Linked DNA regions of Ovis aries. The protein of the gene in region 1 binds, or shares a complex with, the protein of each later gene. Links are inferred from orthologs where the notes say so. Each region holds a gene or a part of one and is shown in the gene's direction. Other genes may lie near its edges. The genes, in order: SF3B2, CRNKL1, DDX46, RBM48, SF3A1, SF3A3 and SNW1.

Region 1 (4,213 bases):
CTCCCATTCTTTTTTCCCTCCTCCCAGGTACTGCTCTGTTGGGGGTGATTCGTGAAATAGAGCATGCTAGAGAGAAGATCTGAGGGATGCGGGTGTGGAGGGAGGGGAGAGGGAATAGAGACCATTTTGAGTTGCCCCGCTCTCTCATCCAACACACATACATGCACACTGGCTGCGACCTGGCTGTCTGTGAGACAGCAGCACTAGAATGGGAACGGGATCTCAGAGCTGGAGGCAGAGGTGGGAAGATGAACTGAACTGACTGATCAGGACAGGGAGAAGCAGAAGGGGGCAAGCAAGGGCCACCTGCCCATCCCTCCCTCAGGGGCACAGGCCGCTGGTGGGGTAGGAGAGCACCAGACAGGGTCTGCTGCGCCAGTAAGCTGGTGGGGATGAGGGAAGAAAAGGTCCTGAGTTTATTTTCTTTCTTTTTCGGCCTTGCGGTGCGGCTTGTGGGATCTTAGTTACCTGACCGCGGATGGAACCCGGGTTTCCCCAGGGAAAGCACTGAGTTCGACCCACTGGACCACCAGGGAATTCCCCTGCGTTTATTTTCAAGACTAAAAAAGGATCCAAATCTTGTCGCTTAAGACTGCTTTTTTTTTTTTTTTTTCCCCCTTTCAGTAATAATTCATTGAGCACTTCTAACGCCAGGTACTGTGAGACCGTAAAAACTCATGTCTTGGGAGTTGTAAGTGCAGAAAAGGGCAAGAAAGATTTCAAAACAAATGGTAGAGGTTTGGCCGCTCCAGAGCAGGAAAGGCGGGAGACAGTTTAACGTAGATGACATTTGAGACGGCCAGGAAGGTGGAAAAAGGGGCTTTAGTGTGGCCCTTCCCCCAGGTCGGCAGCTGGATCTCAGCCCGGAGGGCCGGCTTCGTTCCCGTCTCCGATCTCCTTTCAGCCCATTCATCCATGCCTGGGCCGGGGATGGGCGGGCAGACAATCAGACACTGTTTTATCACAGGCATCGGCGGCAAACTCCCGCTTGGCGCCCACAGCGCGCGACCGCCGGGGGAACGAGTCCCTGGAGAACGTGAGCGTCCAGGCCTCTCAAGTCCAACCAGGGAGTAGCGCCGCAAGGCGGGAGGTCTGCGCTGAGGCCAGTGAGATGCAGAAAGCACGCCCTTCGGGCAGGACCTGCTTTCCCCACAGCCCCGCCCCGGCTCTGGCCTCCAGAGTTCCCCGCGTCGCGGCCGGCCGCGATCCTCCCGGATTTGAATCCGCAGAGATCGTGACCTGTGCACTACAACTCCCAGAAGGCTTCGCGACCAGGCGGCCTAAGGAGCATTGGAGAACGGTAGGGGGTGGGCCCTGATGGGAACTGCCTGGCAACCCTCGAGCGGACGTGGCGTATCGCCCTACCGGAAGTTCCGGGAAGTGGGTCCGGAGGCTGGTCCGAGCTTCCGGGTTGGTCGCGCGCCTTCCTGCGGCTAAGATGGCGGCCGAGCATCCGGAGCCTCCTAAGGGAGAGTTGCAGCTGCCGCCGCCGCCGCCTCCTGGACACTATGGTGCCTGGGCTGCCCAGGAGCTTCAGGCCAAATTAGCAGAGATCGGAGCTCCCATCCAGGGTGAGGAGCATGGGAAGTCAAGGGCAGGAAAGTGCAGGCCTGCGGGGAAGCGGAGCTGGTTACCCCGGAGACCCGGGGGCGGGGGTTAGAGGCTGGCCGCGGTGGCCTGACTTGGGCAGGCTGGCCTGCTCGACCTGACCTACCCCGTTGATCCTGTGCTTTGCTTAGCAGGGAGTCGCGAGGAGCTTGTGGAGCGATTGCAGGCTTACACTCGCCAAGTAAGTGTTGGTGGCGGGACATGAGGATAGGCCGAGCGTTTGCAGGAGGCATTAATGACCCGTTACAACTCGGTCTTCGTTGTTTACGAATCTCGGTACAGCAAGTGGGGTCTTGGCTGCTTCGTATCTGCTGTGTTATAATTGCTTTTGTATATATCGTTTCTTCCCAGAGCCCATTCCGAGCTCTGGCAGACAGTCACTGGGTAAATTTTGTTGAATAGACGAGAGCGAACGCTGTTTCATGCACCAGCTCCTTTTAGACTGCCCTAGATTCTTTTCACTTTCACAGACTGGCATCGTCCTGAATCGTCCCGTTCTGAGAGGTGAAGATGGGGACAAAGCTGCTCCTCCTCCTATGTCAGCACAGGTAAGAAGACTGTCTCACTTGATAAGATTCTTTTCTACTCAGAGTAGCTCCTCCTCTGAGCGTACAGGGGGATACACGTAGCCCACTGGGCAGGGAGGTACACTGATGAAAGAACTGGGAACTCTTCAGTTCTTCCTTCGTCCAGATTCTTACTTCCTTTCTCAGTGTCAGTTCCTCCAAATTTCATGTGTCATTTAAGATTCAGCTTAAATATCTGGAAACCTGACATAATCCTTCCCCAGCTGGAAGTAATCACTCTCTTCTCTGCCCTCCCTGTGCAGAGTTCCCATGTTATTCAATGAGAAATTAGGGCTTACTCTCTGATTTAATTTCATACCTTCTATATTTAATCAGTCATTGGGGCACACTGGGTCTTATTTATTTAAATACTCTCAATTTCCATGTCTTTTCTGATCCAGGATTTGATAGTTTTTCTGTAGAGCAGTGGCCCTGACTTGGGGTCCAGGGACTTCTATGTGTGGCATAAGAAGGTTTTTATTTTTTGAGGGGTTGAGGAGTTTTTCAGAAGGCCTTTAGAGGTGTCCGTGAGTCTCCTGAAATTGTATGTGAAGTCTGTGTTCATGATGTTCTTCTGGGACAGAGTTGACAGCTTTCATCAGTTGGTGGCACAAAGTTAAAATGCTCTTCTTTCGATACTGCCGTAGAGTATTCTTTCTTTTTTCCTTTATGTCTTTGGCTGCTCTGGGTCTTCATTGCTGTGTGCAGGCCCTTTCCAGTTGAAGCGAGCACAGGACTACTGTCTAGTTGTGTTGTGCGGCCATCCCATCGCAGTGGCCTCTGGTTGCGGAGCACGGGCTCCAGGGTATACGGGTTTCAGCAGCTGCAGCACACGCGGCACATGGGCTTAGTTGCCCCGCAGCACGTGGAATCTTCCTAGAGCAGGGCTCGAACCCATGTGCCTTGCGTTGAGCGGATTCTTAAACATTGGACCTTCAGGGAAGCCCTGCATTTTCTTGAATGCAAGAATTGTGCATCATTTGACTTTGAATCCCAGTGCCAGCCTTATATTAGTTCCCCAGCAAATGCCTGCCATTACATAAATGCTTCATAGTTAATGGCCTTTTTTTCCCCCCACAGCTCTCGGGGATTCCCATGCCGCCCCCACCCATGGGTCTCCCTCCTCTACAACCCCCTCCACCACCCCCACCACCCCCACCTGGCCTTGGCCTTGGCTTTCCTATGGCAGTTGGACCCCGCCCGCCAAACTTGGGGCCTCCTCCTCCTCTCCGGGTGGGTGAGCCCGTGGCGCTGTCTGAGGAAGAGCGGCTGAAGCTGGCGCAGCAGCAGGCGGCATTGCTGATGCAGCAGGAGGAGCGTGCCAAGCAGGTAGGGCAGGTGGCAGCCTGAGCCTGGGTCTCACCAGGGTCCTGAAAAGGGAGTAGGGCCTCCAGGGGAGCCGGATCCTGGGGCCAAGGCTTCTGGGAAGGTCTGGACCCAAGTCTTCAGGGCCTCGGCTGGAAGAGCAGACCAGGAAGCAGAGCTGTGGTAGACTGGCCGGTGGGGTGTGGGTACTGGAATGAGCTCGTTTTCTTTCTTAAGCAGGGAGATCATTCACTGAAGGAACATGAGCTTTTGGAGCAGCAGAAGCGGGTAATGCCTCCCTCTTCCTAACCTTTGACCTCCATGGTCTAATCCATCGTCTGTCACTTCTAGTGCTTACTGTCTAAAATTAGCCGTGCCATTCAGGTTTCCCATGGAGATTACCTCATCCTCATCTAAATTCCATTATCTCCCAAATAATTCTTTCTTTCACATAGCCAAGGAATTGGTAATCTGTGGACTATAGCCTGTTTTTGTATGGCCTGTGATGTAAGGATGGTTTTTATATATTTGAAGGGTTGTTTCGGGGAGATGGGGGAAAGGAATTTACAACAGTCTACAAACAACCCAGAAAGCCTAAAATATTTACTGACTGGCCCATTACAGAAGAAATTTCCTGACCCCTACTGGGCTTTCCCAATGGCTCAGTGGGTAAAGAGTCTGCCTGCAGGAGACAGGAGATGTGGGTTTAATCCCTGGGTTGGGAAGATCCCCTG
Region 2 (3,500 bases), on another chromosome or scaffold:
GGGGTCTTCATTGTGATGTGTGGGCTATTCTCCACTTGTGGTTCATGGGCTACAGAGCGCACAGGCTCAGTAGTTGTAGCACATGGGCTTAGTTGCTATATAAATCCTTTTCAGATTTATATTTTAATAGGTGAAACATGTTTGACTTCACCTTTTGGGAAGATAAAGCCCTGACTCTTCACGTGTTAACAAAGTTAGAGCCAGAGATTGCCAAAGACCGTTTTTTTCTGAAGTCATTTTGACTGTGACCAATAAGTTCAGATGATTCTATTGAAGGTACAAGTACACGTACATGGAAGAGATGCTCGGGAACGTCGCTGGTGCCCGGCAGGTTTTCGAGCGCTGGATGGAGTGGCGGCCCGAGGAGCAGGCCTGGCATTCATACATCAACTTCGAGCTGAGATACAAGGAGGTGGACCGGGCCCGCACCATCTATGAGCGCTATATCCTTTGGATGGGTCTGCCTGCTGCACTGCTGGGGAGCTGTGGTCTGGCTGGGACACATAGTCACTGATTTTGGCCCAGAAGTCAACTTCTGCTTCATAAGTTGCGTTTATATTTTCTAGGGACATAGTTGTTCAGAACAAAAGTTTGTGGTCGGGATAGTTGTCTCTTTTCCAGGGAGACTTGGGTTTGTTTATCCTTTGGCATTAACACTGTGGTTCCTTATGGAAGTTAATACTGTAAGGCCCTGTTTGCTCTGGGGTGTATGTTGGTCATGGGCACTGGTACTGGAGTTGGTCCAGAGGTTTACTGTTTACTAGCCATGTGATCTCGATGCGTCAGATCACTCCTTGGAGCCTAGGTGTCCTCGTCTTTATTTTCTCAGTTATTTACTTATTTATTTCTGGCTATGCAGGCTTTTCTCTCATTGTAGCGGGCAGGGGCTACTCTAGATGACATGTGCAGGCTTCTCATTGCAGAGCACTGGCTCTAGGCACGCAGGCCTCAGTAGCTGTGGCTCCCACGCTCCGGAGCACAGGCTCGGTAGTCATGGCACGTTGCCTTAGTTGCTCCATGGCGTGTGGGATCTTCCTGGACCAGGGATCGAACCGGTGTCTGCTGCATTGGCAGGCAGATTCCTTAGCACTGAGCCACCGGGGAAGCTCCCTCATCTTTAGAAGGGAGGTAAAAGTCCCTGTTGTGGGCTGATTGTGAGGAGGAAGGAGATGGTGATGGGAAAGCACCCTCAGCAGTGCTTGATTCTTGTTTCACTGTTGTTGTGCTGGTTTATCTCCTATTTGATAGCGTTTATTCATAGATCCACAATCAGTATTGGTGGCACTTTGGCAGTCATTTGCAGACATGCCCAGAGTGATAAAAAATTTGCATCCCCCAAGGCACTTGGTCCCAGTGAAGGACAAACAAGACAACCATCTGCCTTCCTGTCTCTGCTCTCCTGCAGGGCTGACCGGGGCAGGGAGCGGGAGGGGCAGTGCAGGGGAGGGAGACGCCCCAGCTCTGGGCCAGCTGAGCAGGACAGAATTCCTTCTCTGGCACCGGTTAGTGGGCAGCTTTAGGCATGTCACTTAACACTTGAGACTTGTTTTCTCTTTTCTAAAATAAAAGAATTTGCCAATGATAGTTATTTTTAGGATTGAAAATCACAGTCTATGTGAGATGTGTGTGTATTCGTATGTATAGATATAGTATATATGTGGGTGTATATCATGCATACATATTTCCTCTGGGAGCAGCGATTTGGTGTTCTCCAGGCAGAGTGACTTCATAGAGTGTAGGTACCGTGAGATAACGAGACTCAACTTTATTATGTAATTTTAGCATCTTAGCTGTGACTACTCATTTTGATATCACTAGTTTAACAAAAGCATGTATGGCACCTGCTCTGTGCCATGCGTTATGATAAGCACTTTACAGATACTGTTGTTTAATCCCTGTGACAGCCCTCAATTCAGAAGCTGCTTCCTTCTGCAGATGGGGAATCTGAGGCAGGATAGCACCTTTCAGGTGCTGGTGAGGCTGGGATTTGAGCCAGTCACCTTCAGAGCCGGTGCTCTTTAATCATTGCCCAACTGGAACATGTTCAGTTCAGTCGCCAGTCGTGTCCGACTCTTTGCGACCCCATGGGCTGCGTACTCTTTAATCATTGCCCTATTGGAATGTGTTACTACTTTGAAATTTAATGATTTCTTCAAGGAAAGTAGATGAAAAATACATCCTATGAAGAAGTAAAATTGTAATAAAAAATGTCTCTGTTGGCTCTGATTAGTAGTTTTCTTTTCGTGACGTGTTTTTTCTTTCTTTCTTCTTTTTTTTTTTTTTTTTTTTTTTTTTGATTTTCTGGCCTTGCCACACACCTTGTAGGATATTTGTTCTCCCAACCAGGGATTGAATCTGGGCCATGGTAGTGAAAGCACTGAGTCCTAACCACTGGACCACCAGCAGCTTCCTCTTTTTTTCCCTTAAATCTTTATTGGAGTACAGTTGATTTACAATGTTATGTTATACAGCAAACTAAGTCAGTTTTTTATATATATATGTATGTATATACATATATCCATTCTTTTTAGAATCTTTTCCAATATAATTTACCACAGAAGTGTTTTCTGTGCTATACAGTAGGTCCCTGTTATCTATCTTATATACAGTAGTGTGTGTGTGTGTGTGTGTGTGTGCGTGCGTGCCGACTCTTTGCGGCCCATGTACTGTAATCCACCATGCTCCTCTGTCCATGAAATTCTCCAGGCAAGAACACTGGAGTGGATTGCCATTCCCTCCTCCAGGGGATCTTCCTGATCCAGGGATCAGACCCAGGTGCCCTGCAATGCAGGTGGCTGCTTTACCGCTTGGGCCACCAGAGAAGCCCAGTAGTGTATATATGTTAATTCCAGTTTCCCAGTCCATCACTTCCCCCCACGTTTCCCCTTCCACAACCGTAAATTTGATTTTGGGATCTGTGAGTCTGTTTCTCTCTGCCAAACCGTTCATTTGTGTCATTTTGTGTTGTTAAATTTCACCAATAAGTGATAAACGGTATTTGTCTTTCTCTGACTTACTTCAATTAGTATGACTACATCTCTTCTTTGGAGAAAAGTCTACTTAGATCTTTTGTCCATTTTTTGGTTGGGTTGTTTGTTTTTTTGATACTCTAGGTTTATTCATGTTGATGCAAATGATGTTATTTCATTCCTTCTTATGGCTGAGTAATATTCCGTTGTATGTATGCACCACATCATCTTTATCCATTCTTCTGTTGATGGACATTTAGGTTGCTTCCATGTCTTGGCTATTGTAAATAGTGCTTCAAATTAAAATAGTGAACATTGGGGTACATATGTCTTTTGAATTAGGGTTTTCTACAGATGTATGCCTAGGAGTTGGATTGCTGGATCGTATGGTAATTCTGTTTCTAGTTTTTTTAAGAACTTCCATACTGTTCTCCATAATGATTGTACCAAATTATATTCTCATCAACAGGGTAGGAGGGTTCTCTTTGCTCCGTGTCTCCTCCAACATTTATTATTCACAGGTTTTTAGAT
Region 3 (3,500 bases), on another chromosome or scaffold:
CTTACATGGAAGAAGTGAAAGAGGAAGTAAAAAAGTTTAATATGAGAAGTGTGAAAGGTGGTGGGGGAAATGAAAAGGTATGGGATTTTTTTCCTATTTTATTTTTAAAGATTTATATTCCTAGTTGAATAACTTGAATTCATTGTTGCATTGACCTACTATTGGCTTGCATGGCTTTATAAAGTTAATGATTTTGTTTCCTTCTGCATCTCAGAAGTGTCTGTGCTTTTTCTAAAGAGCAGAGATACTAGCAAATTGTAACTGCAAATGTCCTTTTAGAGTCATCATTACTATTATCATCTTTGTTTAGTGTTTTTGCTTGCTTGTTCCTTTCTCAGTAGGTCCTTTTCCAACACTCCCATATTTTATACTCCTGATCCTCTTTAGTCTAGGTTTTCTTTTTCTTAATAGAATTTATTGACAAATGGTGTAATTCAATGTTGTGTTTGCTTGTTCCTTCTTTCTTCTAAAATCTTCCCAAGAGCAGTGATCTTTACCTGTTTTGTTTATTGATTCATCTTCAGATCCTGGGATAGTATTTGGTTTGTGGAATGAGTGAAAAGTACTATTTAATAGTATTTTAAAAATAGATTACATAATATTATATAAAATTACATACTACATACCTAATTACCTGTGTGTTAATGTGTTAGGAAATATAATGCTGTTGTATTACATTTTTAAATTTAAGTAAGGAGAAAGTGGGCTACTGTTTGTTTTTGCATTAGTAGTCACTGACTACTAAGTTAATTCAGATTATAAATTGTTACAGTTATCATTGTTTCATTTGGTTTATACTTTGTGTTTCAACTTTAGCAAAATATTTCACATTCTTTTTTTAGAAGTCTGGGCCAACGGTCACAAAAGTTGTCACAGTTGTCACAACCAAAAAAGCAGTCGTAGATTCTGATAAGAAGAAAGGTGAGCTAATGGAGAATGACCAGGATGCCATGGAGGTAACTTTAATTTTAACTTTGTTCACGATACCATAGAATGAAACAGCAGCCCGCTCCAGTATTCTTGCCTGGAGGATTCCATGAACAAGGGAGCCTAGTGGGCCATGGTCTGTGGGATCACAGAGAGTCGGACACGACTGAGCACACAGCACGTGGTACCATCCTATGAGTATTTATAAGGAAGCATTGATGGAGGTGTGCTTTTCAGTTACGCAGTGTACTCTTGGGAGAAATTCTTGCTTTTCTCAACAGTATTGTAGCCAGATATCCAAACTGGTAGAACATTTTAACCTCTTTAACTTCTTGTATACCTACTTTTTTTTAAATTGAAGTATAGTTGATTTGCAATATAGTATTAGTTTCAAGTGTACAGCAACGTGATTCAGGTATACACACACATACATATTTTTAGATTCTTTTTCATTATAAGTTATTACAAGATATTGCATGTAATTCCCTTTGAAAGTGTGAAAAGTGAAAATATTAGTCATTCAGTATGTCCGACTCTTTGCTATCCCATGGACTGTAGCCCACCAGGCTCCTCTGTCCATGGATTTCTCAGGCAAGAATACTAGAGTGGATAGCCATTGCCTTCTCCACGGGATCTTTCTGACCCAGGGATTGAACCCAGGTCTCCAGCATTGTACAGTAAATCCTTGTTGCTTATTTTATGTATAGTAGTTTGTATCTATTAATCCCGCATTCCTAATTTATCCCTCCTTCCTATTCCCCTTTGGTGGCCAGAAGTTTGTTTTCTATGTCTGTGAGTCCGTTTCTGTTTTGAAAATAAATTCATTTGTAGTATTTTTTTGATTGCACATTCAAGTGATATCATATAGTATTTATCTTTCTCTGACTGACTCCACATGGTATGATGTTGTCTGGGTTCATCTGTATTGCTGCACATGTGTAGGCCAAATTTTGATTCATCCCTGTCCCTCATCAGTACATCCCAGATGTAGAATAGGGAGAGAAGAAATGAAGTGACAGAATGAAATTTTTTACTATTAACACTCACTGTAATGATTTATATAGAGAAAACTTTATTGTAATGATTTATATAGAGAAAACTATAGCAGAACTTCATTAAAGCTATGTTAGAATTAGTTTTTTGTTTTAGCTTTATATTGTTACTAAAGCTTTCTATGATGGCAAAGAAAAAATAAGCTAAGTTGGAAAGTTCAGAAAATAAAAGAAGAGGAAAAGAGTATTTTCTAGGAGTGGAACATTTTTTAAGTTAGGAATATTTCTTCCCATAGGAAGACAGTAATAGATTCAGCTCTTAGTTTTTCTCTTTTTGTTACAGTATTCTTCAGAGGAGGAAGAAGTTGATCTTCAGACAGCTCTTACAGGTTACCAGACAAAGCAGAGAAAGCTTCTAGAACCAGTGGATCATGGAAAAATTGAATATGAACCATTCAGAAAAAACTTCTATGTTGAAGTTCCAGAATTGGCAAAAATGTCTCAAGAGGGTAAAATTTGTTTATTCATTTATCAGTTATTTTGGGGATGGGGGAAATATACTTCACCTTGCCTGGGAGGCATGTTGATAGGCCTGTAAGTTGATGGGTAAGTAGGAGAAATGTGCCTGACTTACTTGGAGAAATGAGAGTGAACTAGAACATGAGAAATCATTCTAGAGAGTGAGACTGCTACATCCACAAAGATTAGGAATAGTTAGAAATTAGTGTGTTTTGGGAAACATTTTTAAAAAATGAGCAAAAATGAGTTTGGCTTACATAGTTGAGCTATTTAGGGTTGAAAATACTCTTCATGTGAAGTTAGCAAGTAGAGTATTGTTGTTTTTCTCTTATTTGAGAATTAGAAACCAATATGAATCTGTGTGATATTGACGGAAAAAGCGTGATCTGGGCAACCCTTGCTTAAAGAACAAGTGGTTGTATTACTTGTGAATCACTGTTCTTTTATTGCTGTTAGAATTTAAGTCAAAATAAAAGCCAAGTTGTAGAAATTGGGGTGTTTCTTTGCACCCCAATTGGTTGCAACAGTAATCACTTTGTCAGAGCTGTTCAGTGCATTGTCATGGAGCTTCTATATGGAATTATCTTTGGGAACACTAAAAAAGAATTGATTCTTAATACAACCATGCCTCATTGAAAAGTAGAGGGCACTAACAGAACAATATTTAAGAGTTTTTAATCTGGATTTTGTTTTGTAGAGGTGAATGTATTTCGGTTGGAAATGGAGGGCATTACTGTCAAGGGTAAAGGTTGCCCCAAACCAATTAAATCTTGGGTTCAGTGTGGAATTTCTATGAAGATCTTAAATTCTCTAAAAAAGTAAGTGTTGAGCGGTTGTCCACATTTTTCAATATCTTTCTACTGAAAATAACCTGTTACACAAATAATTCCTTAGCTTACATTTTTATTCTAATGGAAAATACTGATTTTTTGTTAAACAGCTTTCTCTAGATATGATTTACATTCCATAAAGTTTACCCTTTAGTTTACGATTTTCAGTATATTTATGAAGTTGTGTAGTCATTACCATAATCTAATTTTAGAGCGTTTTCATCAAACCCAA
Region 4 (4,258 bases), on another chromosome or scaffold:
CCAGAGGATTCTTTACCACTAGCTGTCACCTGGGAAGCTCCAAGAGACTCTCTATAGTAAAAGCAACAATGGCAGGATCTATTGAAATTAACATGCTTTGAAAGACTGGGGAAAAACAATCTAGAAAAGTAGTTAAAGGCAAGTAGCTAAAATGGAGAGGTGGGATATTTAAAATTATTGCAAACTCCTAAATATTTCCTGCAAGGATTAGCCCGTAGTGGGTACTGTGCATCCAGGATTTTCAAAGATTTCAAGTATTCTTTTTGTCCTCATAGCACACTCAAACTGGTAGACCAGGTGCCCCTATTTTATAATTACGAAACTAGGGATGTGGTTAGAACTATGAACTACCACAATCACAATGTCCAGAGGGCAACTAACTGCAGAGGTCCAAGTATGCATAATCCCACTGCACGTTCCGGGCACACCTAGGAGGTATTCCGAGCAGCGGAGACGCAGCGAGAACCTTCATCTTATTAACCTATCTCGCTCGCGGCTCAGTCTCTATTAATTTACAGGGACTCCTGGGCCACAGCCAGGCAGGCGCACCTGGAAACCACTGGCAGGAAAAACGTTTTTTACGATCGAAACAAAACAAAATCCGCAGACAAACCCGACTTCTCCAAAGCTTTTCCAACCTGGAGTGAGGAATAGCTGAACTCAGAGAGAAAATTATCAGGATGTTTGAGAGCCCAGTTTCACCGAGTGAAGACCTGGAATACGTACGGCAAGTTAACGCAAAGGCCCGGGGCTGCACCCGACGTGGTAGGGCTGCAAAGACCGCCCGGACCGGCCCTGCTCCAGAGCGGCCCACGTTCTGGCTGATGAACAGGTCGGCGGCGCGGGGAGAGCAGCCCGCGTCCCGCCGTCGGGAGACGCCCGAGCGGCCGCTGCGTCCCGAAAAGGCCTGGGTCCCGGGCGGCCGCAGACGGCCCCCGAGGAGTCCCGAGTCCGGGCTGGGGAGTCCATGGGGCGGGCGCGTTACCTGGAGCAAGTGCAGCTGGGCCACTAGGCGCCGCGGCAAGTGAAGGAAGCAGTCGCGCGTGCTGGTGAAGGCCACGGTCACGGCCGCCCCGCCAGCAGCACCCGCCAGCCGACCGCTGCCCCACATCCTCCGCCAGCGACGGCCCCGCCGGAGGCCCACCCCAGCGGACCCGGGCTGCCTGCGGACCGAGGGTGACCGGGCCTGCTACGCTCGATCGGCCCCGCCCCCAGGCCCCGCCCCTCGCGCCCGCCGCGCCTCGGGAGCTGGAGCGGCAGGCCAGCCCAGTCCGGCTCGCCGGGCCTCTCCGCCGCGCCGCTGGAGGGCGGCAGCTCGCTCGCCGCCTACTTGCTCACAGGAAACGATGGCCAACCCTGTGGCTCCTTCAGCCAATCTCGGCGCGCCTTGACCCATCCCTCTCTCTGATTGGGTAATCAGGAGGGCAACAGGCGGATGTTGTCGTCTCTGCGAGGGCCAAAGCCGGCAAGATGGCGTCCAGTGGAGGGCAAGTTGGGGGCGTATTCGATCACCACGTCCAAAGGGCTGTGTGTGACTCGAGAGCCAAGTATCGGGAGGGCCGACGGCCTCGCGCTGTGAAGGTAAAGTGATTTTGGTTTCATTCGTTGTCGTCGGTAGCTTTATGTAAGCTGTAGCTTCACACGCCCAGTTAATGTAAATAAAGTCTTGAAAGGCTGCGGTCACATCCATTTGCTGGAGATGAGTGTGAGGGACGCCGGTACCCAGGTAGCAGATACTCTCGCGGCCTCTTTAGTCAACTGTTGGAGCTCCGTGAAAACGGGGTATGTGTTTTAGTCGTATCTTCCGTGTTTACAGTAGTGAATATTTAACTCTTTCCTGTAACATTTACCGAGGCAGCTTCTGAAGACATGTCGATTGGAGGTAGTCTATTATGTGCTTTAGCTCGAAGCCCTCACATGTAGGGTGACTTATTGTTTCTACAAAGAGAAGGGCAGATTAAAAACAAAAACAAAAACACCTTTTCTGCAGACCTGAACAGAGTAGTTCTTGTTTTCAGGGTTTTTGTTTGTTTGTTTGTTTTGAATAGTAACAGGTTGTCCTAGGCTTGTTTGTGAAACACATTTAATGCGTGTGCATTTCTTTTAGGTCTATACAATCAATTTGGAGTCTTGGTACTTATTAATACAAGGAGTTCCTGCCGTGGGAGCAATGAAGGAATTAGTTGAGCGATTTGCTCTATATGGTGCAATTGAACAGTATAATGCTCTAGATGAATACCCAGCAGAAGACTTTACAGAAGTTTATCTTATTAAATTTCTCAATTTACAAAGCGCAAGGTAATATACAAGTCAGGCAGTGTCTCATTTCCTCTGTTCCCATTGCTATCATTTTGGCCTCCCTCATTCTTTCATGAATTACTCAGTAATCTAACATGGCTTTTTATTTTTCTCCAGTATTCTTAATGTAAGTGTTAGCTTTATCAAAAGTCTGTCCATTAGGTCATCCCCATGTGTAACCATTTTCTGTCTTGTAGTGTGGTAGATTAAAAACTGGGTTTGGACTAAGTTTTCAGGTTCCACTGCTTACTAACATGATGACCTTGGACAAGTTATTTAATCCCATTAAACCTGTTTTCCTGTCCTATAAAATGTGTAAGGATGAAATGAGATAATCCATGTAGAGGGCTTAGCAGATGCCTCCTGCTCAGAATGCGGTAAACAACATTAGCTGTTAGGTTTCTTGTTATGCACCTATATGAATTGACCCCATCTTTTTTTTTTTTTCTTCTGAATAGCATAAATCCTCTGCTGTAGTAAGGGAAATATGAAATGCCTCATCTTATATTCTTGTCACTAATTTGCTTCAAGACCCATCCCTTCCCTGGCTATTACAATTCACATTTTCTGTGCTACAAACAGTACTGGGGTATATGGGTCATATATTGTTCTCCAGTTGCTCTTATGTATAATCTCACTGCCCTAACCAACTTGCCAGCTCCTCATGGTTAGGGAAGTATATTTCCTTATTGTGTATTCATTCCATGAAGCTTTTGCATCTCCCACACCCCTTTTACAGTGTGACATGTGGATTTGAATCCTGGCTCCACAAACCAAGGTGAGCTTGGACAAATAATCTCCCCATGCCTCAGAGTCATCATAGGGATGTTGAGAAGTGTGATTTCAAGTGAAGCATTTAGGCCACTGCCTGGCACATGGTAAAATCTCAGTGAATATTTCTTACCATTTACCTTGGACACAGAAGTACTTAATTTCGTAGTAATTCCTGGCCAGTCATAGATGTTTAGTAAGTATACATTAAATGAATACTATCCTCTCCTTTTCTCATTTACTGTTATATATTTGTGTTTTCTCCATTATTAAATGTTTATAATTGTAATATTTTTATTAATTTCTTATCTTTGAACCCCATTATAGGAACACATTGTGCTAAAAAGGCTAAGCTGGGCATGAGCTAATTTTTGAGGGCCTTTTAACACAGAATCTCTATTTCATGACCACAGATTGTGTACCTCAGGCCAACCAGCTGAATCTTATGTTGGTTAAAGGGAGTCTGGATATGTTTGGAAAACTTAGCTTAAAACCTATGAAGACTCTTGGGAGAGGGGGAAAAAGGCTCTGAAAGAATATGCAGTGGATCAGTAGGGTCAATACCATTCACGTGCAGAGCATCGCAGCTCCGAAGCTATAGGATTTATGTATACAACAAAGTCTGGACTTTGCTTTTTAGATCAATGCATTGTATGCTGGTTAAGCTTTCACCCTAAGTAAACCATGGTATCGTGAATTTCTGCTTAGGATGGCCAAGAGAAAAATGGATGAGCAGAGTTTCTTTGGTGGCTTGCTTCATGTGTGCTATGCTCCAGAATTTGAAACAGTTGAAGAAACCAGAAAGAAATTACAAGAGAGGAATGCTTATGTAGCAAGAATGACTAAAAATAAAGGTATGTAAAGCCTACTACTAAACACCTCCAATGTGTCAGGCATTTTGCTGAGTTTACCCTCCTAGAGTTTTCCCAGTCTAGTGACTATAAGCTACGAAGTTTTTTCTTTACAGAATGTTATGTAATCTTGCCTGGGAAGGGATAGATGTTATTTCATGGAAGATTCCTGCAGGATGAGAATGGTGGCTGAGTTCTGAAGGGAAAGTAGACATTACCCAGAAAGGGAGAGGAACAGATGGAAAGATGGGCCAGAGGAATAAATGAGCGTCATGCATTTTAAGGAACTGTGAGTAATATAACCACAACACAGCAGCTGACATGTGAATCTGAGATAA
Region 5 (3,500 bases), on another chromosome or scaffold:
TTGTGTCCCCCATCACTGGGGAGAAGATCCCTGCCAGCAAGATGCAGGAGCACATGCGCATTGGGCTTCTCGACCCCCGTTGGCTGGAGCAGCGGGATCGCTCCATCCGTGAGAAGCAGAGCGATGACGAGGTGTACGCGCCAGGTAAGGCGGGGTGTTCCCCACTCGGACCACACTCCTCCTTTGACTCAGCCCTAACTCACTTTGGCCCATTGGGATCTCTTAAGTTAATAGTCAGCACGCTTTAATCAAATGTAGAAAGCTTTGAGGTCACCAGGAGCTTTTGAGGATAGGTGTGGTCTAGGAAGCCACAAAAGAACCGCCCGCTTCCTAGAAACCCTGCAGAGGATTCCTGCAGAGGAGGGCACCCGAGGTGGGTGGCGTGTGCCCATCGGCATCCTGGAGCAGGATCTGACTGCAGCCGGGAGGGGTGCTCACTCCCAGGCCGTCTTAGAGTAGAGGCTGTGGCGGCTGGAGGGCGCTGAGCATCTTGAATTGAGACACACTGGCCCCTTGACTGTGAGGAGCAGCCCTGCAGGGAGGGAGGGACTGTCCCGGAGGCTGGAGGCCCCTCCCAGAGTCCGCACTCTCCCCCTTGCCACGCTGCTCATGTGGCCTGTCCGCTCGGATGCCTTTCATCAAGTGGGGGTTGGACACGCCCCGGTTTCCAGGCCTAGTGGTCGTCGGCCTTCCCCAGGCTCAGAGGGCCGGCGCGAGGCCCTGGCACCCACAGACAGCTGTGTCCCGTAAGAACAGCCTCCACCTGCACCAACTGAGCCGCCATCTTGTTGGACTGGCACCGGGTTTAGTTTTCCTCTCTGTTCCCTGATTCTATCCAGGTCTGGATATTGAGAGCAGCTTGAAGCAGCTGGCCGAGCGGCGTACGGACATCTTTGGTGTGGAGGAAACAGCCATCGGTAAGAAGATTGGCGAGGAGGAGATCCAGAAGCCGGAAGAGAAGGTGCGGCTCGGTGACTGCCTCCGCCTTTCCTGCCAGCACCCCACTCACGCTCAGTTCCAGGAGCCCTGACCAGTGTGGCCTTGCTTCCCGTGCAGGTGACCTGGGACGGCCACTCTGGCAGCATGGCCCGGACCCAGCAGGCCGCCCAGGCCAACATCACCCTCCAGGAGCAGATTGAGGCCATCCACAAGGCGAAGGGCCTGGTGCCAGAGGATGACACCAAAGAGAAGATTGGCCCTAGCAAGCCCAGCGAGATCCCCCAGCAGCCGCCACCGCCGTCCTCAGCCACCAACATCCCCAGCTCGGCCCCGCCTATTACGTCGGTGCCCCGGCCGCCCGCGGTTAGCCCGCAGCCACCCCGACGGGCCCCTGAAGTTGGGTTCCCTGGGTTGGATGGTGCCAGCCCAGGGCAGTGGTCTCACAGGAGCCCAAGGGCAGAATGGGTCAAGTCGAGAAAAGAACCTTTTAGTTAGAAGTGGGAACCTCCAACCTGGCCTTCCATTTGTGTGGGAGGGCTGGAGCTGGGAAGGAGGCGGGTGGCAAATGTGAGAAGCAGGCTTGGGTCAGGGAGGCCAGGAGGACTGAAGGGGCCTTGGAGGACCGCTGGCCTGAGTCCAGTGGACTGAGTCAAGGGCATCTTCAGTTTCTCTCTCGTGGGTGGAGTCCGAAGTGGCAAGAGTGTCGCCCTGGGTCTCTCTCCGTGTGGTTCTGTCAGAGCCCCATGTGAGGCTGCGCTCTCAGCTCCAGGCTATCCAGCGCCATCCCCAGAGGCTGCAGGGGGTCAGCTGCCGGCTGGTGTGCCCTGGGGTGTAGCCTTGGCTTCCTGTGACCCGTGGGTCCCTTCCGCCCGCAGATGCCGCCTCCCGTCCGCACCACGGTTGTGTCCGCGGTACCCGTCATGCCCCGGCCCCCGATGGCATCCGTGGTCCGGCTGCCCCCAGGCTCGGTGATCGCCCCCATGCCGCCGATCATCCATGCACCCAGGATCAACGTGGTGCCCATGCCTCCCTCGGCCCCTCCTATCATGGCACCTCGCCCACCACCCATGATTGTGCCGACAGGTCAGTGTCTCATGTCGCTTTCCAGGCCACTGGGTCGGTGCTACAGGGCAAGCCCTGAGCAGGGCAGTGGCTAAGGGGAGCACCAGCTGTTCCAGCTGTGGCTCCAGCCCAGAGGAGAGCCTTAGCTTAGCTCTGTGAGAGATCCCTGGGGTGCAGGGGCTTGGGCTCCTGGCTCCTGGGGGAGATAGGCTGATGAGGCAGAGCTGGGGTATGTGTGCCCAGTGGGGTCAGGCCTGGACGGGCGCTGAGGCCTGACGATGGATCCTGTGGGCAGCCCCTGCTCCTTCCATCAGTCCCGCCCTTCCTCCAGCTTCCTGCTACCCAGTCTGGGCAGGTGCCCAGGTCCTCTGCCGGGGAGCTCACTGGCTGCCAGACTCAGCCAGGAGTGGTCTTTCACGCCTCTGACGGGGAGAAGGTGGAAACCTGTGCAGTCTCCCCTCACCGTCAGCCCCCAGGGTCCTGGGTGCCTTCCTCCCATTCATGTGGCTGCTCGCTCCTGCCCTGCAGCTTTTGTGCCCGCCCCGCCTGTGGCACCTGTCCCTGCTCCAGCCCCCATGCCGCCTGTCCACCCCCCGCCTCCCATGGAAGACGAGCCTGCGTCTAAGAAACTGAAGACCGAGGACAGCCTCATGCCCGAGGAGGAGTTTCTGCGCAGAAACAAGGCATGTGACCCAGAGTTGCCCACATTGCAGTGTCCAGACAGGTCGGCGGAACCATCCTGCCCGTTACATGCCTTGGCCCACCCTGAGCTGCTCCCGTGGTTTTGGCTGCTGGGACCTAGGTCAGCTGCTGGAGGCCCAGGAGGCTTCTGAGGCTTCCAAGTGCCCAGCATGCCTAATGTGGGGTCAGCCGTCAGCTGTCAGCGGCCCCCCTGGACCCAGCTGCACAGGCAGCCGGACTCCAGTATGAATGGGGCTCAGGACGCAGGAGGAAATCCTGGGGACAGTTCTTCGTTTCTTTGTGACCTTTGCCTCCAGTTGCCGCCCTCAGGAGTCTTGTATTGTAGGGATCCTGTTGGGGTACTAGGAACAAGAGCTGGGAACCTCGGCACTTCCGGGGCCTGGGGAAGCTGGCAGGCTCTAGTGAGGAGGCAGAAACAGTCCCAGCCCCACTGCCCCAGGGCATTTGAGCAGATCTTTTTTTTTTTTTTTTTTCATTTCTGACAGTAGTTTCCATTTCTTGAGTACCTACTCAAGTGCTGGGATAGAACCACACCTTTTACTGAAGGCTCGCAGCCTCACCGGCCAGCAGTTGTGATCAGCCGCTTCACTGAGTTGGGAACCCAGGTCTTCTGACCTCACAGTTCATGTTCTTGCCCCTGTGGTTCTTCTTGAGGCTTGCAGAGCACTTGCATGTCCCTTCTTCAGCTCCAGCCTCACTGTTAGGCAGGTTAGGGATCATTCTAAAGAAAGAGATCAGTTCTTGAAAAGGGGAGTGAGTTGCTCGATGTCACAGCTGGTGTCAGTAGTGAATCAGGC
Region 6 (4,195 bases), on another chromosome or scaffold:
TCGAGTGTACAATTCAGTTGAGTTTAGCAAATTTAATAGATTTTTGCAACTATCACCACAATTCAATTTTAGAATTTTGCTACTGCTACTGCTGCTGCTGCTAAGTCACTTCAGTCGTGTCCGACCCTGTGCAACGCCATAGACAGCAGCCTCCCAGGCTCCTCTGTCCCTGGGACTCTCCAGGCAAGAGTACTGGAGTGGGTTGCCATTTCCTTTTCCAAGAATTTTTCTATCACCTCCAAAAGATTGCTTTTGCATTTCCTTCCCATCTCACCTCTAGCAGCAGGCAACCACTCACCTACTTTCTGTCTCTGTAGATTTGCCATCTGGACGTCCACTAATGTGTGTGTGTGTGTGTGTGTTGTTGTTTTTTTCTGCGTGTCTGCTTTCTTTCACATAACATGATGCTTTCATGGTTCATCCATATTGTAACACTCCTTTATTGCTGAATAATGTTCCATTGTATGGATACACCATATTTGGTTTGTATATTTACCAGTTAATGACTGGGGGTAGCAGCTTTGTTGATAATGAATAGTGCTGCTATGCATGTCTGCACATATGGACATAGGTTTTCATTTCTCCAGCTAGATGTGGGCATATAGACTTGTTTCGGTTTTTTTTTTTCCAGTTATATAATATTTTACTGCTTGAATGCACTATATTTTATTTAACCAGTCCCTTGGGTTTCCCAGGTGGCACTAGTGGTAAAGAACCTGTCTGCTAATGCAGGAGACATAAGAGATGTGGGTTTGTTCCCTGGATGGGGAAGATCCCCTGGAGGAGGGGATGGAGACCCACTCCAGTATTCTTGCCTGAAGAACCTCTTGGACAGAGGACCCTGGCGGGTTATGGTCCATAGGGTCGCAAGGAATCGAACATGATTGAAGCGACTTAGCACGCACGCAGCACTGCTGATAGACAATTAGGTTGTTTCCACATAACAAAAGAGAGGAAGGGAAGGAGAAAGAAAAGAATAAATGAAAGGAAAAAAACCCGCGATCATTCCCATTTTACTGAGGGAAAAACGTTGTCACAGGTCACACTGAGCTGGAGACTCAAGTTCCGGTTCATCAGCTCCCATACGTGCGCGTCAGCTACTCAGTCCAGGTCCCTACCAGCACGGCCGCACAGCTAGGGAAGTCCCCGCCGGCCAGGTCAGATTCCTTAACGCCAGGCTGATGGATTTCTGTGTGCCCCCTAGAGGCACCTGCAAATCGTTCGGTATCGCGCCACACACCTCCGGCCAGCAGGGGGCACTGCAGCAGTCTCCATAGCACGGACTGGGTCTTTAGCGGTGCTCACTTTTCCTCGAGTCCCCGAGGAACTTCCGGCAACCGCGGAACTTTGGTGCCTCCGGACTCGTAACTTGCGGACGCGGGCGCGCAAGGCGGCAGGGGTTGTTTCCGGTCGTGTTGGTGGACTGGCTTGAGCTGGGGCGGCAGCGACTGCGGCGGCGGGGGAGGAGAAGGAGGAGGGAAGATGGAAACGATTCTGGAGCAGCAGCGGCGCTATCATGAGGAGAAGGAACGGCTTATGGATGTCATGGCCAAAGAGATGCTCACTAAGAAGTCCACGGTGAGTGGACCTAGGCAGGGGCTACCGTAAGGCCGGGCCCCCGGCCCGGGTTTAACCTCAGAGTTTTTTTCAGCCCTCAGACCCGCCCCGCCCCGAGCCCTTCGGGGGATTCCCTCCCCGAGCTCAGGCCTAGGTAACCTTTCCCCGGGGCCCAGCGCCCAGAGGCCTCTCTGCTTGGGCTGCTAAGACCCGAGCAGGTAAGCTCCGCCCTCGGGCGGCCTTCCCAACTCCAGAATTCCGACTAACGGCGTATATGTCACCGTTTGCCTTTTTTCAGCTCCGGGACCAGATCAATTCTGACCACCGCACGCGGGCCATGCAAGATGTGAGTGTCCCGCTGTCCGCTTCTCTTTGGGCACGGTAGACTGGAAGAGGAGGGAGGGGGTGCGGGAAAAAGGTAGCCGATTGGCCAGTCGAGGAGTTTGTATGCCTGCCGAATGTACGCGCCGAAAGCAACCCTGAGGATGTTTAACCACCCTTACTCCCTTCTCCGAATGGAGTACTCTTACTCATTTTTAATTACTAGAGAAGATCCCCTTTACAGCATCCTGTGTCCCATGGATGTGCAAAGAGTAGTTATGAGGTGTCAATGCCTCAGGCTTAGAAGGTACTCTCCTTCTCCCCCATAGAAAAAAAAATAAAGACCCTAATCAGAGTTTCTGAATTAGGATAGATAAATATTACTAGCCCCTAATCCCTTATTTAGATTCCCAAATCCAAAGTATTCTGAAAACAAAAGATGTTTTAATTTGTTTTGGAAATTATTTGGTGGCAAAAATCTGACTTGATCTGATCAGATGAGAGGTTTTTTATGGTCTTTATCCCATTCAATAAATAACATAACTTTCACTGCAGAACTAATTAATGTGTTTTCCAGATCCCACTAGGGATATTTCATGTAGTACCTTCCTGAATTCCAAATTCAGAAGCAAATCTGGTTCCAAAAGTTTTGGAGAATGGGCTATGTACTTGTGCCATCCTGAATTTGAATCCAGAGGAAGCTGTGTGGTGTTTTACTTAGCCTGAGCATTCCTTAGTCAAGCCTTTTGAAATAGTGGAAGTCAACTTGGACTACCCTTTTATCTTTGAGAGTCTTTGATGGGAACTGCTGTTTTCCAAAGGGTGACTCTCACATGGCTCTCTTTTACAATACAATACTTCTACTGTTGTTTAGTTGTTAAGTCATGTCCGACTCTTGCAACCCAATGGACTGTAGCTTATCAGGCTCCTCTGTCCATGGGATTTCCCAGTCAAGAATGCTAGAGTGGATTACCTTTTCCTTCTCCCGACCCAGGGATCCAACCCACGTCTTGTGCATTGGCAGGCAGATTCTTTACCACTGACCCATCAGGGAAGCCCATGACTCTTCTAGGGAAAGTTAAATATGGGAACTCTGCCACCCCTCAAAACACATTTCTTAGGTAATCTTCAGAGTGACCTGTTTTAAAAATTAGCTAGGAGCCAGTGTTGTCTGTTAAGGGTACCAGAAAGCATAAGAACTTTTAACACCACATGTCTTGAAGTTTTCCTGAGATTTGACTAGAGAGCCCTTGTTGGTTGCTTGGGTCTCAGTTGTACGGGCGGATTGCTTCATTCTAATGGATTTGTGTTTGCCTTTCAGAGGTATATGGAAGTCAGTGGGAATCTGAGGGATTTGTATGACGACAAGGATGGGTAAGTCACAGTCACATTCAGTCCAGCAATTACTGCTTTTGAGGGGCCATGGTTAAAGGACTGACTTTGTGCTCCATGTTTTCTGGATTTTTTTCTGAAATTGCAGCTTACGAAAAGAGGAGCTCAATGCCATTTCAGGACCCAATGAGTTTGCTGAATTCTATAATAGACTCAAACAAATAAAGGAATTCCACCGGAAGCACCCAAATGAGGTATGACCTTGCAAAGTTTTTTCTCCAGTCCTGTCCAAAGAGTATACAAAGGACATGTGTTAGGAAAATGGAGATGGTCATTCAGATGTCCTTTCAAAAAGGAACTTACCAGTTAGCAATAAGCAGCGTAGTTAGGTGACATCCTGCAACTGCGAGTTCTTTCAGAATTTCCCTCAGCTTTAAGCTAAAGCCATTCTCTTCTAGGGCTTCCCAGGTGGCTCTCATGGTAAAGAAGCTGCCTGCTAATTCCCTGGTGGTTCAGTGGTAAAGACTGCCTGCACTGCAGCAGTTGCAGGTCCAGTCCTTGGGTCTGGAAGATCCCCTGGAGGAGGACATGTCAACCCACTCCAGTATTCTTGCTTGGGAAATCCCATGGACAGAGGAGCTCGGCGGGCTGCAGTCCATAGGGTCGTAAAGAGAGTTGGGCACGACTGAAGCGACAGAGCACACATATTCCTGGGCAGCCCCTAACCAGCGACTGAACACAGTGTGGGGGAGGGGTATCACAGCCTGGTTATTTCTGCCCACTGTGAGACTTTCAGTGAGATTTTCTCATATCTACATCATGGTCTAGGCTCTCTCTGCTCCATCCCTCCATCCTGCTCGCTCTCTCCTTTCTTTTTTTTTTTTGGTGGCCACACCTCATAGTTCATGAGTTCTTAGTTCCCCAAACAAGGATCAGAACCGTGTCCCCTGCATTGGAAGCATGGAGTCTTAACCACTGGACCACC
Region 7 (4,283 bases), on another chromosome or scaffold:
GGAGATTCCTTTAAAAATTGCAAATAGAACTGCCTTATGACCCAGCAATCCCACTTCTGGGCATACACACCGAGGAAACCAGAATCGAAAGAGACACATGTACCCCAATGTTCATCGCAGCACTGTTTATAATAGCCAGGACATGGAAACAATCTAGATGTCCATCAGCAGATGAATGGATAAGAAAGCTGTGGTACATATACACAATGGAGTATTACTCAGCCGTTAAAAAGAATACATTTGAATCAGTTCTGATGAGATGGATGAAACTGGAGCCGATTATACAGAGTGAAGTAAGCCAGAAAGAAAAACACCAATACAGTATACTAACACATATATATGGAATTTAGAAAGATGGCAATGACGACCCTGTATGCAAGATAACAAAAAAGACAAAGACACAGATATGTATAGCGGACTTTTGGACTCAGAGGGAGAGGGAGAGGGTGGGATGATTTGGGAGAATGGCATTGAAACATGTATACTATCATGTAAGAATCGAATCGCCAGTCTATGTCCAATGCAGGATACAGCATGCTTGGGGCTGGTGCATGGGGATGACCCAGAGGGTTGTTATGAGGAGGGAGGTGGGAGGGGGGTTCATGTTTGGGATCACATGTACACCCGTGGTGGATTCATGTCAATGTATGGCAAAACCAATACAGTATTGTAAAGTAAAATAAGGTAAAAATAAAAATTAAAAAAAATAAAAATAAAAAAAATAATAAAGCAGAGACATTACTTTGCCGACAAACGTTCGTCTAGTCAAAGCTGTGGTTTTTCCAGTAGTCTGGTATGTATGTGAGAGTTGGACTATTAAGAAAGCAGAGCGCAAAAGAATTCGTGCTTTTGAACTGTGGTGTTGGAGAAGACTCTTGAGAGTCCCTTGGACTCTAAGGAGATCCAACCAGTCCATCCTAAAAGAAATCAGTCCTGAATATTTATTGGAAGGACTGATGCTGAAGCTGAAACTCCAATACTTTGGCCACCTGATGTGAAGAACTGACTCATTTGAAAAGACTCTGATGCTGAGAAAGAGTGACGTTGGGAGGAGAAAGGGATAGGGAATGAGATGGTTGGATGGCATCACTGACTCGATAGACATGACTTTGAGTAAGCTCTGGGAGTTGGTGATGGACAGGGAAGCTTGGTGTGCTGCAGTCCATGGGGTCGCAAAGAATCAGAAACGACTGAGCAACTCAACTGAACTGAAAATAAAGTAACTTAAAAGGCATCTCAACTTCGTTATTATCATGCTTAGGGAATGCTCTATCATGTCATAGTGTAAGAGCGATGCGTTTGGGGTTTTCTTAAGTGAACCGTGTATCCCAGAACTCTGGTTGACAATGGAACCGAATTGTAGTCTTTTTCAAAGAACTACAAGTCCCAGAAGGCCGTTCGGCTAGGGCGCCTGCGCAGCGCGCGCCCCTTCCTTTCCACAGCTCTCCGCCCGGGAAAGGCCCGCCCCGCGGTGCTGTCGCTCGCGCTGGAAGAAGCGGAAGAAGATGGCGCTCACCAGGTGGGTTTGTTGATTCGGGTCCTCGATACGGAAGGGTCTGGGAGTACCCACCTTTTTCATTTCTCTGCCCACACTCCCCGGGCCGTCACCAGGCTCGGGCCACAGAGCATCTGTAAGCCGAGGCCACGGCTGGGCCTTCCTGCAGGCCGCTGGGACGGCTAGGCCTCGCCGAAGCTGGGGTCTTTCCTTAGCGGCTTCCCGGGTTGCCTTCGCCCCCTCGCTAGGGCCGAAAGTCGCGGCGTAGCCAATAGGTCTCTGGCCTGAGAGACCGCGGAGTCGCGCGTTTTTCGTTTGAGCGTCTTGGGGGTGTGGAGGGCTCCGCCTCTGGTCCGCGGCTCGGGTGGGCGCGATGCGAGTGTGTGGAGGGCAGGGGCTTATTTGGGCAGAGTGGAGCGGGCGGGAGACGGCGACTGCCTGGCTGTTTTTTCGCCGAAGTCTTTTCTTCTGTTTCTGTCCTAAACCAGGACTCCTGGAAAAAAAGGGCTGGGGAGAGCGGTACTGAAGGAGATTTAAAATCAAAAGCTACGGTAGTGGCCGCTGTCTGCTAGTTCCCGTCGCTGCCCGCACTTTTAACTTTGGGCTTTTTTAGAATTTCTTCCCTTAGATAGAACCGAGTATGATTTTTGCGGTTCCCGGTTGCCTTGGCAACTGCAAGTGATTAAAGTGGTCCCCGCCTTTAAGGAAAAGATGCTTAAAGAAGAGATTCGAAGGAGTTACGTAACTCCGACCTTGCTGCCCCATCTCAGTAGAAAACTTTACACGCAAACGAACTGCAACGGGAAAAGTTGACTGCCCAAGAGGGTAAAGAAAGGAATCGCGTTAGGACATCTGCCTCAGCTCCCCTGACACTCTTCATTATCCTTGTTCGCCTTTGTCTTGGCTGATGACCGTTATGAACCGTAAAAATACTTGGATGAGAGATTTCTTTTTCTGTCCTAGGGTTTGTGTGTATACAGAAGGAAAATCTGACAGTCTTTGGCAGCAGGGCAGATTGGGGTACAAGGCCTACAGATATGAAACGAAGAATACAGAATGCTTATTATGTAGTACTAGCGTGAAGTGCAAAAAGAATTAGATGGAATGGGCTGAATGAACTGGAGCATTTTCTTTAGTAAGTGTTGCAGGCAGCAAACATGCGAGTGAGTGCCCTCCAGGTGGGAGGCAGTGTGACAGAGACTAGTAGTGTTATGAGGAAACGCTTTGTGGAAAAGATGGAATTGAAAAGGACACAGAGCAAAAATACCAGAGATCTTGTCGGCATTGGGTGCTTAAAATTGCGATAGCAGAGTGCAGTCATTAAGTAGCTTGTCTTGGGGACTTACATGGAGTTTTAGCTGATTTGGTTTCTATAGACAGTTTCAAGTTTCCAGGTGAAGTGTTGTTATCGCTAAGATCTCCCAGAGATTCTTAACAGCAGAGACTAGTAAAAAGGAAAGGATAGACTAAGATGTCTCCACAGCGGCTCTATTGACATTTGGGGCTGGATAATTCATTCTTGTATGGGGCCTCCCTGCCTACATTAAGATGTTCATGAGTATCTTTAGCTTGTACCCAGTAGATGCCAGTGGCATCCCCACCTCTTCTCTTCCCTCTGCTTCACAAGTTATAACAAAATGTTTCCAGGTGTTGTCAGATATCTGCATTGTAGTTATTTTGCCCGCAGTTGAGAAATACTGAGGTAGACTTTTGTTCACTTAAGCAGCCCACCCCTACCATAGGAAAGTACCTCATGGGATTGTCATCCTTTACAGGGAACAGCAATATTAAGACTCTCTGGAAGGCTAGGATGCGTTCTCATTATAATCCAGGCCAGATTACCTGTTTACTAGATTGTCCAAACTCTGCCTTGACAAACTGCCTGCCTTTTGATCATTTTAGTGACTAGAATGATCATTTTCTTCCAACAAAAGGTAAAAGAGAAATGAAACCTAAGTAAATATTTTGGCTTGTTTCTGACTTTGTATCCCTCTATGTGTTAGTATACATGGTTTACTGGAAACAGCTATGGTATAAGCCCAAAATGTTTTGACTCCTTTCATCCATTCATTTGCTTAGTAAATTGCATATGTTGGGATTGCATGGATTGAAAGTACTTTGTGTCAGCTAGTGTTGCTATTGATTCTGTCAGGGACTCTTCTTACCCTCAGAGTTTACATTCTAGGGAAGACAGACTATAGGAGTAAACAAATCAGTAATACAATTTCAGGTAGTAAGTACTAGGAATAAAATAAAGGTATAGAGAGTGACGCAAAGAGCAGGGTGGAATGCTGTTTTGGTCAGGTAACAGCTGTAGGGAGGTATAATTGAGCAGGGACAGGAATACTGAGAAGCAAGCACTAAAGAATCTGATGAAGAGTTTTCTTAATAAGTAAATAGAATACCTATGGCAGTGGGAAAGCAGATATAAGGATACAGAAATGATTTGTTTAAAGAAAAGCAGTAAGTTTGTGACCGAAAAATGATGAGTGCAAAGAGTAGAGTGAAGTTATTTCTCCAGCCAACATTTGAGTAAAGCCCTATTGTGAGCTAGTTAGGCAGTGCTTTAAGAGTTAAGGATTAAAGAAACAGAAAGTGATTCCTGCCCTCAAGTTGCCCACAGTCTAATGAGAGAAAGAAAGATAAATCGATAGTGATTGCAGTACAGTAAGACAGATGTTGTAGTAGTGGTGTGCAGAGGGTCTTATGAGAGCATAGGTGAAGGGTAACTAACTTACGCTGGGGGAATTGTGGAACAGCTCCAAAAAATCAAATGTTTATGGAACAC

Evidence for each region.
Region 2: SF3B2 (region 1) and CRNKL1 share a complex: the UniProt entries of both Homo sapiens proteins name them as parts of the minor spliceosome. The link is inferred for Ovis aries from reciprocal best matches to the Homo sapiens genes SF3B2 and CRNKL1.
Region 3: SF3B2 (region 1) and DDX46 share a complex: the UniProt entries of both Homo sapiens proteins name them as parts of the 17S U2 SnRNP complex. The link is inferred for Ovis aries from reciprocal best matches to the Homo sapiens genes SF3B2 and DDX46.
Region 4: SF3B2 (region 1) and RBM48 share a complex: the UniProt entries of both Homo sapiens proteins name them as parts of the minor spliceosome. The link is inferred for Ovis aries from reciprocal best matches to the Homo sapiens genes SF3B2 and RBM48.
Region 5: SF3B2 (region 1) and SF3A1 share a complex: the UniProt entries of both Homo sapiens proteins name them as parts of the 17S U2 SnRNP complex. The link is inferred for Ovis aries from reciprocal best matches to the Homo sapiens genes SF3B2 and SF3A1.
Region 6: SF3B2 (region 1) and SF3A3 share a complex: the UniProt entries of both Homo sapiens proteins name them as parts of the 17S U2 SnRNP complex. The link is inferred for Ovis aries from reciprocal best matches to the Homo sapiens genes SF3B2 and SF3A3.
Region 7: SF3B2 (region 1) and SNW1 share a complex: the UniProt entries of both Homo sapiens proteins name them as parts of the minor spliceosome. The link is inferred for Ovis aries from reciprocal best matches to the Homo sapiens genes SF3B2 and SNW1.

What each region holds. Positions count from the first base shown.
Region 1 is NC_056074.1:40,571,743-40,575,955, forward strand, and holds the start of SF3B2 (splicing factor 3B subunit 2), read left to right. Parts: upstream 1-1,413; 5' UTR 1,414-1,438; coding exon 1,439-1,571; intron 1,572-1,739; coding exon 1,740-1,789; intron 1,790-2,078; coding exon 2,079-2,156; intron 2,157-3,254; coding exon 3,255-3,503; intron 3,504-3,716; coding exon 3,717-3,767; intron 3,768-4,213. UniProt on the Homo sapiens protein: Component of the 17S U2 SnRNP complex of the spliceosome, a large ribonucleoprotein complex that removes introns from transcribed pre-mRNAs.
Region 2 is NC_056066.1:39,174,976-39,178,475, reverse strand, and holds part of CRNKL1 (crooked neck-like protein 1), read left to right. Parts: intron 1-276; coding exon 277-443; intron 444-3,500. UniProt on the Homo sapiens protein: Involved in pre-mRNA splicing process. As a component of the minor spliceosome, involved in the splicing of U12-type introns in pre-mRNAs.
Region 3 is NC_056058.1:43,902,225-43,905,724, forward strand, and holds part of DDX46 (probable ATP-dependent RNA helicase DDX46), read left to right. Parts: coding exon 1-77; intron 78-842; coding exon 843-956; intron 957-2,262; coding exon 2,263-2,428; intron 2,429-3,135; coding exon 3,136-3,256; intron 3,257-3,500. UniProt on the Homo sapiens protein: Component of the 17S U2 SnRNP complex of the spliceosome, a large ribonucleoprotein complex that removes introns from transcribed pre-mRNAs.
Region 4 is NC_056057.1:10,622,543-10,626,800, forward strand, and holds the start of RBM48 (RNA-binding protein 48), read left to right. Parts: upstream 1-1,458; 5' UTR 1,459-1,470; coding exon 1,471-1,581; intron 1,582-2,107; coding exon 2,108-2,298; intron 2,299-2,304; exon of another isoform or gene 2,305-3,002; coding exon of another isoform or gene 3,003-3,076; intron 3,077-3,777; coding exon 3,778-3,923; intron 3,924-4,258. Other genes in the region: peroxisomal ATPase PEX1, read right to left, coding at 986-1,111. UniProt on the Homo sapiens protein: As a component of the minor spliceosome, involved in the splicing of U12-type introns in pre-mRNAs.
Region 5 is NC_056070.1:69,349,454-69,352,953, reverse strand, and holds part of SF3A1 (splicing factor 3A subunit 1), read left to right. Parts: coding exon 1-144; intron 145-839; coding exon 840-961; intron 962-1,056; coding exon 1,057-1,302; intron 1,303-1,814; coding exon 1,815-2,022; intron 2,023-2,529; coding exon 2,530-2,684; intron 2,685-3,500. UniProt on the Homo sapiens protein: Component of the 17S U2 SnRNP complex of the spliceosome, a large ribonucleoprotein complex that removes introns from transcribed pre-mRNAs.
Region 6 is NC_056054.1:12,733,427-12,737,621, reverse strand, and holds the start of SF3A3 (splicing factor 3A subunit 3), read left to right. Parts: upstream 1-1,395; 5' UTR 1,396-1,482; coding exon 1,483-1,578; intron 1,579-1,855; coding exon 1,856-1,903; intron 1,904-3,199; coding exon 3,200-3,252; intron 3,253-3,358; coding exon 3,359-3,464; intron 3,465-4,195. UniProt on the Homo sapiens protein: Component of the 17S U2 SnRNP complex of the spliceosome, a large ribonucleoprotein complex that removes introns from transcribed pre-mRNAs.
Region 7 is NC_056060.1:87,037,638-87,041,920, reverse strand, and holds the start of SNW1 (SNW domain-containing protein 1), read left to right. Parts: upstream 1-1,483; 5' UTR 1,484-1,505; coding exon 1,506-1,519; intron 1,520-4,283. UniProt on the Homo sapiens protein: Involved in pre-mRNA splicing as component of the spliceosome. As a component of the minor spliceosome, involved in the splicing of U12-type introns in pre-mRNAs.